Bombyx mori: one gene and its partner. The protein of the gene in region 2 purifies or fractionates together with the protein of the main gene of each other region. This does not show direct contact. Links are inferred from orthologs where the notes say so. Each region holds a gene or a part of one and is shown on either strand. Other genes may lie near its edges.

Region 1 (6,749 bases), on a different chromosome or scaffold from region 2:
TTTTTGTACTTTATCTAAAAAATTTTTGATAACAGTAACAGAAATTTACAAATCATCTTGGAGTATATAACAACATATTTGCAGAGGGAGGGACCATCTATGCCTATTTCATCTTACCTTACCTATTTATCATTGCATTAAAGTTTACCAAGCTTGGTTGAGATATCAATTCAGTTCCAGTAATTAAGATTATTAGCACTGAATTTCGAGTTGACAAATTCATTGAATATATTTAAGAATTCAAGTTTCTTTTTTTTTCCAAAGTGTGGTATGATCCAATTATTAAAAAAATTCAAAGGAACATTATTCATCAATTAAGCATGCAATACTGATTAACATATCATAACTGATGTTATATTTAAAGTATACTTGGTAAAGAAACAGGATAAACCCAGTTTTTTATCTTAAAAGGGTATTGTATATTGATAAAACGACAGTAAACATAAAAATCATTGATAAAAAAATCCAACTTTAGTATTCATTTATTACTTCAGCTCAAATAGTGTTGATGACACTATATAAAAATAATGAACATGCTAACTACGTTAAACACATATGTCTTACGAAAGGTCTGTTATCGTAGGGCTCCTCTTGAGATATTGTTGGGGAGCGTAACAGTGGGTCGCGGTCGCCTGACTCTTCACCGCGGCCCGCTGTGGCCCTTCGTTCAGTTTGGGCACTGCACGTGTCACATCTCCTCATTTCTACACATAATCGCCACTACGGACTGTAAATTTTGCCCTCGAATATTTGCCGATTAGGTTTAAGCCTAAGGTTTTTTTTTTTGTGAAATATTTACTTTTAAGCCTTCATCTAGTTGAATTATAATTTTAATCAAATGAAGGTATGTTGAAATTGAACTGAAAATTATACCTGATAAAAATTAATAAAATATTTTTTACTGTCATTCTCCTACGTTCTGTAAAAGAACATCAAACATCTAAAACTCATTCAAAAGTAAAATATTAATAAAGATATTATTATGTCAACAGCATGCAAGTACCTCATTGTCACTGTCAATCAAAGATGTTTCTTCCATTAGAATAAAACTAAGACCAACTACAAATGTGTAAAATCTTGAAAAATAATTACTTGCGTACGTATTAACAGAGATAATCGCTTTTGACTAATGAAATTGAACTATCAAAACAAGACTGACTTTTCGTCTGACGATTATCACTGTTTCGGCACGAAATCGTCATTGTATGCAAATTAAATTGTCTGACCATTAGCGAATATAACGTAGATAAGATTCAAAGACTCTAGCATGTGTCCTGTCGAGTTATAGCTACGAAAATATTTCAAATTCACTTACTACGGTTATTTGGCTTCTTTGATGTGTAAGCAAATTCCGTATACATTAACCGGCCGCGTCACAATGTAGCCTCCATTGTGAGCATAATACATGAATGAACAATAATATGTAATTATTATTTAAAAAAAAATATTTTTTTAATTTACTGATAATTTATGAACAATTATCCTCAACGTGCCTTGATTTACAGCATAGATTATACACTTAATGATTTACAGACACTGACTTTTGACATTTAAGCACAGATTACTGAAATTTATATTTTGACTACTTAGTATTTATACTAGGTATGTTCCTCTTGTAATTGTCATTGACAAATAATCTTTGACAGTTTAGATGAGATCTTTTCTTTGTCTAAGTTATAGCTGGGTTTTTTCATAAACCAAATCTTAGCAGTTAGAAATGTTGGATAAAAATTGTTTAATCCGAACTATTTTGAATGACTTCCCTGTGAATTACTCTCTAACACCAAGTTCACCAATTATCTTTATCTAGAATTGGCAGTTAACCATAGAGGCTTTTTGGCGGGAACGCTAGGAGTGAAGTTGTGTGATTTGTTTTATTTTGTCGATTTAGTGTTTCTTCAGGTTTAATTATGTAATAACGGTGGTTTATTAACTGCTTAGTATCTGTGAAAGTGCACAAATATGGGAAAATCAAACAAAGCCGCTGAACGTAACTTCTCGGGATCCTCCAAAAAGTCCACTAAAATTCCACTAATTTTACTGAGATTATATTTCATACCATATTATCTCATTTCATCCCAGTTGATTAATGTCTCAAACATGGTCTAACCATAGTCTAACAAAATACTGTTGACGTTTGCTGTCAAATGGTCAACACGTCACCTCATCGTGTGTGTTGTCAAATTTGTGGAAGCCTATCCTAAAATATTTTGGTGTGTTTTATGAAAATTAGATATAAGAATATAAAAACAAGATGGTATGTAACGTTAAATAAAATTAACGTACACTCTTCATCATACATTCCATAAATCCCATTGTTTTAATTCTATTCCTGTAGATATTATTGTGTTCCCGGTCAGTGTTTACTACTGAAATCATATGTATTTTCATGTTATTTCAGGTACTTATAGCCGCTACAGTTTGTACGAAGTCAGGCAAAGGTAATTTATACTACCGATATGTGCTTCAACTACTGACATTTGATACTTTTCATAATATTATTTTAATGTAATATAGTACTTTACTTGTCTATTAATGATGTTCCACTTATTTAGCTCTGGTGTCCCGCCAGTTCGTCGAAATGACAAAAGCTCGCATCGAAGGTCTACTGGCGGCCTTCCCTAAACTAATGACAGGAGGACGGCAGCATACATTTGTAGAAACAGAGTCCGTCAGGTATTTATCATTAACAAATTTTCATTAATATTCTTTACGATGAGTTATTCTTTCTTTTATACCAATGACGAATGTTGTTTATAAGCATACCATTATATTCATCTAATCAATAAATAAGAACTAAAAGTGTAGTGCATTACCCATTACTGCTGTGAATCAGTGTCATATGTCTATTTTGAAAGTTGTTATAATGTACAATAAAGAGTTGAACATTGTGTCTTAAAATGAGTAGCAACATTGTTATTGTCGTTTATATCTATGGGAACTATACACCACAGGAGACATCAGTTTACTCACCTATATGCTGTACAATTATATATAAAGCAAGTTAAAAATTTTTGATACAAAATTATGTCTGACTAAATTTTTTACCACTTTCAGATATGTCTACCAGCCACTAGACAAGTTGTATATGTTACTGATCACGACAAAGGCTAGTAACATCCTGGAAGATCTGGAGACATTGAGACTCTTCAGCAGAGTGGTAAAATATTATTAATCGCATTAAATTTTTATTTATTTAGTACATATATAGTGATAACGACATTGCAGATTGTATCAGTTACAAAAATTTCAGTAGTTTTTTCAGTATTCATTAAAATGAGGGAGGGGCACGGATGTAAACAATTTAAAATTGTACACAAAAGTTCATAGTGCAAGTAATTTTGCACAATTATAGCACAAAATAAAGAACAGATCTGTGGTTCACATTAGGCAAATCAAATAAACTTACATGAATGGGCAAAGAAAAACACTTGAACACTGTATTCTTTGGTATGTCAATTGATTTTGATAAAAAATAATGTTTAGTAACAAATTTTAGTATTATTAATAAACAAATACAAAATATGTACTTGTAAAATAACAAATGTTAGAGTACTGTGTACTCATATTTTGTGTTTTTTTTAGTTTTTTTTAATTGCTTAGAAGGGTGGACGAGCTTACAGCCCACCTGGTGTTAAGTGGTTACTGGAGCCTATGAGGGCTTATGCCAGCATACCCGGGGAGTATGTCGCTAACACTAGCCCTAGCAAGAGCAGTGCTTCGTAGAGTCAATCATTCTCTTATTGTGTGAAACGCATGACAAACTAAGGTTAATCTTTAAAATCTTTTACTGAGCGAATGATATTGCTATGAATATTGACTTTAAGAATCTTGTCGTTCAGAACTTGTGATGCCAGATTATCATGAAAATGTTCTTAGCCTGATTCAGTGTTTTTGTCTTATATTTTTTATTTTACAATTGCTACTGCTATAACGGTTGTCACTGCCAGTGGACATGGGCAACACATGCAACAATATCCACCACTAATGTTCATAAGAAGTCTCATTTAACAATAACAATTTATAACATAAAATTTTTAGGTTGTTGGAGCTGTTTTGCATGCAAAAATAGCAAGTTATCGGTGCTTATTATTTTCTTTCTAGGTACCAGAATATTGTGTACAGCTCACAGAAACTGAAGTCTTGAACCAGGCCTTCAATTTGCTATTTGCTTTCGACGAGATTGTCGCTCTTGGGTACAGAGAAAGCGTCAATCTAGCGCAGGTATGTGTATAAGACAGATGAATTTGATATTGTTACGCCGGTAAGAGTAACGCCATCTATCATCGAATAGCAGAAACGAATATCAAAAGAACTAGTAACATCGAGAGCGCTCGAAATGTGTAACGCCATCTATTATCAAATAGCGGTAAAACATATCGAAAGGAGTCGTCCTGTTGGAAATGTTCTCGATAATTGTGGATTTGTCGTATCGACTATAAAAGCGTTGCAGAGATGACATGAAGGCAGTTTAGTTAACGGTTCTACGGTGAATAGCAAATTGTAAAGTGTTCCTTGAATGTTCTAAGAGTTAAATAGACTTTTAATTTGTACTTCGGTAAAAGATTTATCCCGAGCCTCAGCGCGTAGCAATATGACAGATATATTCAATTCAACTCTTAAGCAGTAATGCGTTTCGGTTCGATGGATGAAATAGCCGCCATACTATTGAGATGTAGACCTCATGTCTCAAGGTGGATGTCAGAATTCACATTATGATATCCACGGCATCTAGTAATCACGAAAAGGTTGGCCGTGAGATCGTTTACCGATTTTCTACATTGCCCTATATAGTCTTGAATTTAAATTTTGCGAATTTTTTTGTTTAAGGTCCGTTCGTTTGTTGAAATGGACTCTCACGAGGAAAAGATTTATCAAGCCGTAAGGCAGGTACGTGTATAAATTTAATAATGTTTTTAATTTTCTTTCTATTGTGATATTCGTCTATAGACAAATTATTCAGCTCACTGTTATTTGATCGGAGTTTCCTGTAAATCAATGTTCCATAAATACGTCCGTGGGTCGCGTGAGTTTAGCAACAACTGGCCTTGGGTTGCCACGTTTAAATAAAAATCATTATAATTTACCTACATGTTTATATTTTTTGTTATTTATATAAAATTAATACAACTGATTAATAAGAAAAGGATTCTCTTAAAATATTTAGGTATCAAGTAAATCCAGCATTTTTTTTTATAAGTTCCTAAATTTTTCTGTGCTATGTGAACCACAGACTAATATATGTTGATATATACGCCTACAAAACACCCAGAAAAATAACAAACAAATGTGTTCATCACACGAATATATGTGGGATTTGAACTCAGGACCCTCGTCCCCGTAGACGGAAGTGCAACCACTGTGCTGTGTATCCGAGTCATTCAACTAGTTACTGCACGATGTGGAAGTAGTGAAACTCATTCGAATATCGTGTGTAATCTGTACATAGATAAACAAAGATAAAATTCTGTTTAATAGCTAATGACTTTAGGTACGGTTTTTTTTTAAAGTTTATAAGTTAACAACACAGATAATATAATACAAAACATAGACTCATTGTGTAAATTTTAAGGCGTCATAGATTATAGTCGAATTCCGATAATTTTACGGGAGTCCCTGGTAATTTAAAGCAGCCGTTGGACTGTTTTATTATTGTTGCCTTTAAAGGGAGGTGAGCTTACGGCCCACCTGATGGTAATTGGTTACCGTCGCTCATGAACGTCATCAATGCCAGGGGCACAGCCAAGTCGCTGCCTACCATTACTCATGCCAGTGTTCCGATATAGCATCATCTGTCTCCATAAAAAAACATTTTTTTTATTTTTTATTGCTTAGATGGATGGACGAGCTCACAGCCCACCTGGTGTTAAGTGGTTACTGGAGCCCATAGACATCTACAACGTAAATGCGCCACGCACCTCGAGATATAAGTTCTAAGGTCTCAGTATAGTTACAACGGCTACTCGACCCTTCGAACCGAAACGCGAAACGCATTACTGCTTCACGGCGGAAATAGACAGGGCGGTGGTACCCACCCGCGCGGAATCACAAGAGGTCCTACCACCAGTGACACACCCACAATTATACGTATTTCTGCCGTGAAGCAGTAATGCGTTTCGGTTTGAAGGATGAAGCAGCCGTTGTAAATATACTGAGACCTTAACCTTATATCTCAAGGTGGGTGGCGCATTTGCGATGTAGATTTCTGGGCTCCAGTAACCACAACACCAGGTGGGCTATGAGCTCGTCCATCCATCTAAGCAATAAATAAATAAATACTTACAAACACTTTAGACCCAAGAACGCGAGGCAGCGAACCGCATGCGCGAACGCGCTAAGGAGTTGCAGCGTGAGAGATTGGAGGCGGCCAAACGTGGCCAGCCGCCGCGCTCACAGATGTCCTTCGGTAAGAACAGTGTGCTTTGTGCGGAAGCCTTTGAGAGGAAACCACAGATTGTCAAACTTGCTCATTTCCAAACGAATTGAAAATCTAAAATAATTTATCTTGAAAGTTTTAAGTAAACACATTTTGTTCAGAAAACAATCGATATACTCGTAGACTGCTAACGAAATTGATTCTTGGAAGGGTCCTTATCATTAAAAACTCGTTTTATTGTCTCGGTACTGGCAACATTGTTCGCTTGCCAAAAAATACGAAATTTTAAAGTCCGGAGAGTAGAGTTAAGGAGAACCATCTCTGTGTGTAAAAAGTGTCCGTTACAATCTGCTAAATAAGGGTGGCGCTACAG
Region 2 (6,236 bases):
ATGTATTTAGCTGTAAGCAGTATACGAGGGTACAAAGACACAATAATGAGAGTTAAAGGAACATTAGTGACTTCTGTATTCAGATATGATGAAAAAAGATTTTGCTAGCGCAGCGACATCTGGCGTAGAAGGGCAGACGAAGATGATCCATTTCGTGTTAAGCTTCAATTGAACTGTAATCATCATCTGACCGCCTTAGTATAATTTATAATTTTGTTACCTCAAACGCATCTTCAATTCCATCCTCAGTAATGTCGGTATTAGTCTCCCTTGCTCTGGTCACCACGGCAGCGTTGTACTTCAGGATGAAGTAAGTTTCATCGGTAGCCAAACACACAAGGTTCCCGCTTTCAGACCAAAACACGTGACGAGGCTGAATCTCAATACTGTTGAACAATCGTTAGTTTAGTGGTATAAAAAGGACATGAGAGACATTGAGCAAATTGTTGTCGCAACAAAAAAATTGTAAACATAACAACTCTTCTTAAAGGCTTTAGAAACATAATTTCTTGTAAACATCTAAATTAGATAGAGATGAGAATCGTACCGTCTGACCAGTTCCAAATGTTCCCAATCGTAGAACGAGAATGCTACTCCGCTGATAGACTTCACGCCGAGCATGTAACCTCCGAATATACCTGAACAAAACACTACAGTATAATCTTACAACGGTAAACAGTATTATTCATTTCGATAATACTTTTAACTTTTACAATCATAAACTAAACTTGAGCATTTTTATTAGATTGTTTCAGTATATTATTTAGAAAATCATGTATTCATACTAGTAGTAAAGAGATTTTTTCATATAAACAAGAAATCAGCTGATATGTGATTTAAAGTAGTTAAATTTGTTGTGCGTAACCATAAAATTATATAAATAACTCCATTCTTGACCCTGTCGACTTTTAAACCCGTTTACAAAATTTAATCACAAAGTAAAATGGAAATAAAAAAATATCGTACTGTTCTCACCTTCAGCACCGTACTCGGGCTTGAAGCTTTTTCTCTCCTTGAAATTCTTGAAGACTTTAACTGAAGATGAATTCTCTAGAGTCGCATACTCTGAGCTGTCGAATGCCCATACAAACTCCTGGGCCGTCCCGAACGCCTTGTTCCTCAGAGCCATCGCGGTGTATATGATGAACTCACCATCACCGCACACCACCACGAATCTACCGTTCGGATTGTGGGCTATCGTTTGTGGGTATATCTCGCAGGAGCCCATGTCTTTAGCAACGACTGGTACACGCTCTCCGTCCTTTATTTCTGTGCCTAAATATTGAAAGAACTGTGTTGCAATGATTGAATTTTTAGCGAATTTTGAATTTTAAACAATACTTCAAAATCAATTTTGTGTTTGTAATGAAAGTTCTGTTGATTCGAGAAAAATAGACAATGCTATTTTATTAGTATTTTATAATTTTATAGGCAGTAAAGAGTATTTGGGGTCTTATCTTGAGTGCCAGCAGAATAAGTATTTAAATATTTCTTTCTCTCTCACACTCATACACACTTTTTCTATCTTTTATTAATGCGTCTTATTACAAGATAAGAAAACTACCAAACTGAACATTTGATTTTAATTTTGCTTTGTTACCTTCAGGGAGAGCCTTCAAGTTGACCTGCTGCAATTCAGAGTGCTTAGCACAGATAATCTTTCCTCCGTTCACGTCCATAGATATAGCAGGCTCTTCTCTGCCCACTTTTATCATTATCGTACCTTCGTCATACCTATCAATAACAAACGTGAAATTAATATTGAGAAAAATAATTAAGTCTCCTACCATTACAACCAGATATTACTTTGATCCAATTTATCGTAATAATGAAACCTACATTTAATTAAAATATAATCGCCAATTGACTAAAATAACTCACATCTTGAGTAATCATCAAGAAACTCACCCTACAGCGACGTTGTTCGAACCGTGCATGGTGGATATCGTCCATACTCTTTCGAAACCATAATTTAGGGAAGACTTGAGCCTGTAGGTGCCTGCGTGCCATATTCTGAGGGTGCCGTCTTCAGAACCGGTTAGCAGGATCGGAAGCTCGGGGTGGAATGATACTGCTGATACATTCTGAACATGACCTGTCCAAGAATGAGATAAGTTATGTTTGCGTATTTAGGCCCCATCCCAACCCGATGACATTCTGTCGTCTACTTCTCGTAATAAGTCCCAGGAATATATATTTTTATTTGATTTTTTTAAAGCTCGGATTAAATCAATGCAGGACTAAGAAACGCACAATCTTCTATCAAAACTTACCTTCCAATGTTTGTACACATGTCTTATTTTGGTAATCCCATATTTTGACGAGCCTGTCATCAGCTCCACTGATGAGGTAGGGCTTGTCACCGCCATGATAATAGTCCACGCAGTTGACGCCTTTCTCGTGACCTTCTAAAGTGAAGTTCGATATAGAAGCACCAAGTTGCCAAACCTAAAAATAGTACGATAAACATTAAGAAAGTTCAACTATTTTAGACATCGTTACGTGAATGTTGTCCCTTTATGGATACCTTCAGACATGAGGTCAAGGCCCCCATTACATTGTGTAAAAGCTAATTATTTCACCCTTCAAACTAGATGGCATGTCTGCTTCGCGGCAGGATGAGACAGGTTCGTGGTACCTACACATGCGAGCTAACACTCCTCACCATCAGTTTCAGTGCTCATTGCCCATAATCCATTCATCATTCAGAGTCCATGGTTAACCACGAAACCGATACCATCTCTCATGTCCTAAAGTACGCGGCAACATTCTCGTTGTAAGCACTAATTACCACAAGAGCTTTATCGCCTTTACTGATCTATGTCAACAAGAGAAAGGATCTTAACGCAGTTGGCGTCAATACGTCGCCATTATTCCTACCTTCACAGTAGTGTCGAGACTTGCGCTTGCGAAGGTATTGTTATCCTTCGGGTTGATAACGATCTGCATTACGTAATGCGTATGCCCTTCGAATACTTGCTGACATGTCCAATTACGGTCCCAGTTCCACAATTTGATTAGGAGATCATCTGAAATATTGTGTTTATTTGATACTGTATTTTTTCTAAATTCTCTTTGTCAATATGCAGTATGTAATGCTTGATAAGCCTAAGTCATTCCAAGCTCATCATATTTTTTCTCTCTGTTCCTTTCCGTGTAGTAAAATTAGATACAGATCAGAAACCCCTACAATTATTTTCAATAGTTCAAACTATCTTATATCTTACAAGCTACAATTAAAATTAAATATTCCTCAAGTTCATTTAACAGCTTTAAAATAAAACCCAAGGTTTTGTAGACTTCATCGGACAAACATACTTATATATTATTAAGCTAAATAAAATAAATCAAACCAAGTAAAACAGAATTTGTGATTGTTTTTATGCAAATTGTAGACAAGTACATCTATTTCTTTCAAGTACTCACCACTGCAAGTCAATATGTACGGTTGTGTGGGATGAACGGCTATGCATCGCACATAATCCGAATGTGCTTCAAATGAGTGAACCCTCTCCAGGGTGTTGTAGTTGAATACACGTATCTGCATGTCATCTGAGCCAGTTATCACCCAGTTCTTCCGGGGAACAAACTTTGCTGATCTCACCGGGAGATCACATACCTGTTTAAAATAAAACGAATTATTATAAAATTTACTATGTATTGTAATTGGAGGCATTTTGGTTTACTTACAGAATGATGTTTACTCTAATTTAATTTATACGGAGAGTATAAAGCACAGAATTCATTTGAAAATACAAAAAAAAATGTATTCTTAGAAACATGATTTTCAATCACGTTATTTTTTAAGTAATTACTGATGAAGATTAAAACATAGAACAGTAGTTATCCCATGGCAATTGTACTCTGCAATACTCCAACATCATATTTCAAGGTTGAAGACAGTGTATAGGCTCAATCTCTTGACAACCCTCTAATACAGTCAATCAATCAATTGATGGACAGTATATTGATATGTATTGATAGTACAATGAACATATGCACCAAATATTTGCTTTAATAAAAGTCATATGATCAATTCATTTAAATAAGGTATCTATCTGACTTTAATTATTAAATATCCAATAGTGTCATAGAATTCAACTCAATTGTACAATTGTTGTGTGTATGTGTTTTGCTACAAAATGCTTGGTTATTTTAGGTAAAAGTACTGGAAAACAAAGCACTCTCAAGTATTACAAATGAGCAGCCATTTATGTTCGTATCATTAAGAAAATAAAAACAAAAACACAATTTCTCATCTTTATTAAAGATTACTGGAAAATCAAATTATCCGATGAATGCTTAAGCAATGAATGAGATAACATTGACAGTAGAACAATGTTAAATACAGCTGTTGTCCCTATCATTAACAATATAAAAACTTTGCCACATACAAGGAGTCTATTCTTGGACACACTTTAAAGCTACTTAAGTAGCAATTACTGAATAGATGTGTATCAATTTTCTGGTAAAATATATTATAAGCCTGTATGAATAGGTACCGCTGTTCCCATTTTTACTGATTGGAAGTCATGTGATTCAATTTAAATGGAGACTTCGCATAGTTATTGGGAGCGTTCACCTGGTGATGTCTATGGACTCTGTTAACTAATTTTGTCTTAGTGGACTGTGACCTCATTGTGTGACCATCTACGCAATAAAAAAGATATGCTAAGAACAAAGTTGACTGTAGGTAAACATTAACTATTAAATTATGTGAACCTTTCATAACACATTCAGAGAGTATAATGTAACTGAGTTTCAGTTCACTGACTCAAATGCTTTTATTGGCATAAATCAATATGCTATCAATTAATTAATGGTGTTTTGAAATTTGTTGTTACTTATGATTCTCTATTGCTATAATCTTAGATAGCTATAATCTAAGAATCAAAGCTTATATGCTAAAAAGCATGTTTATGTGCAAGTTTTCCATGATTTATTTCATAATATTACATATTTAATAATGATGGATTTCTTTCAATTCAATGAGTACTTTCAATGGTGAAACTGTCATCATTCAGGTTCATAATTAATAGTAGTTGGAACCGATTCTAATATATATGATTAATCTATAATTCATCCATCATGACAAATAATGAATATTCTTGATATCTTTTATTAGAAAACTATTTAATTTTACTTCAGTTTTTTTTTGTGTCGCTGCTGCTATTGTTGAACAGTTTTACGTTTAATTTTTGTGCAAGAACCAAACTACAGAGGAGCTGAAATGAAGTTATAATCATCAAAACCTAAATGAGATGCCTCTGGTAATAATTTCAAGAGATACAAGTGTTCTGATGTTCAAATATCACAGGCAAGTATGAATTTTTGTCGAGCTATTAATATTTATCACTTCCATGAGGGAATATCATCACTATTAATATCAGGTGGGGAGTCAATGAGACCTACTCAGATTAGTGGTGACTATCCCAAAATATTAAATGTCTTCATTGAGGCTCAAATACAGCATCAACCATAATATTACCTTACTTGGACCAATATTCATTACCTTCTTGGTACAGAGAATGCACTCTTCAAGCAGTACCTTTTGCAACCTAAGCTGAAAGCATCTTGGGTGTACTAGTTATCAAATCATATCAACAGGGCTTTTGCATGCAGTTTCGTACTGTTGACCAGAGAAAATATAAATACTTTAGATGTAAATTCACTGTGGAGGTTTTTGATGGCAGAGCTTAATACAATGTACATCTTAATCTGGGAAAACTAACAATTTCTGTCAGGCTAATGAATATTTTGGCCTTGAGTGGCTATATATTCCAGATTATTTTTGAGCTATGAGAAAATAATAATATTGAGTAACAAAGATCCATAGTCATAAATTAATGTAATTACTTACTACTACTAGTGGTAGTATACTGTAGGTCCATCCAAGTAACTGTCACCATTCTACCTATTTCTACAGCAAAGCAAATATGGATTCTCTTTCGAAAGGCAGAACATTTATTACAATTGACCTCACTCATGGTGGACGGAATTGTGAACTACACTGGTTGTCTATTACTATTAGAGCAGTATTTCTGAATACTCTTATCTGACACAAGGCAGGAATAAACTCCAGTCTAAACAGTGAGTAACTATTTTGAAACAAGTGAGAAACATTAATAGCCAAAACCATCCAGGACAATAAAAATTATACTAGTCAGAAAAAAAGAGGTGCATGGCTAATTTAAATCATTCAAGTGTGAATCACTACATACTTTAGAAGAAATTTT

The links. Proteins that work in one complex are often made in the same cells at the same time.
Region 1: the proteins of COPB2 (region 2) and COPD fractionate together in Homo sapiens (co-fractionation; 5 studies listed by BioGRID and IntAct, with this or other methods). This does not show direct contact. The link is inferred for Bombyx mori from reciprocal best matches to the Homo sapiens genes COPB2 and ARCN1.

Annotation. Positions count from the first base shown.
Region 1 is NC_085130.1:5,922,846-5,929,594, reverse strand, and holds the start of COPD (coatomer protein complex subunit delta), read left to right. Parts: upstream 1-2,219; 5' UTR 2,220-2,254; coding exon 2,255-2,257; intron 2,258-2,401; coding exon 2,402-2,441; intron 2,442-2,555; coding exon 2,556-2,676; intron 2,677-3,057; coding exon 3,058-3,160; intron 3,161-4,104; coding exon 4,105-4,224; intron 4,225-4,830; coding exon 4,831-4,890; intron 4,891-6,294; coding exon 6,295-6,406; intron 6,407-6,749. Other genes in the region: deubiquitinase DESI2, read right to left, coding at 565-704, 1,316-1,361. UniProt on the Homo sapiens protein: Component of the coatomer, a cytosolic protein complex that binds to dilysine motifs and reversibly associates with Golgi non-clathrin-coated vesicles, which further mediate biosynthetic protein transport from the ER, via the Golgi up to the trans Golgi network.
Region 2 is NC_085107.1:19,806,956-19,813,191, forward strand, and holds part of COPB2 (coatomer protein complex subunit beta 2), read right to left. Parts: intron 3,620-6,236; coding exon 3,427-3,619; intron 3,030-3,426; coding exon 2,881-3,029; intron 2,449-2,880; coding exon 2,274-2,448; intron 2,096-2,273; coding exon 1,909-2,095; intron 1,735-1,908; coding exon 1,601-1,734; intron 1,276-1,600; coding exon 976-1,275; intron 651-975; coding exon 548-650; intron 387-547; coding exon 221-386; intron 1-220. UniProt on the Homo sapiens protein: The coatomer is a cytosolic protein complex that binds to dilysine motifs and reversibly associates with Golgi non-clathrin-coated vesicles, which further mediate biosynthetic protein transport from the ER, via the Golgi up to the trans Golgi network.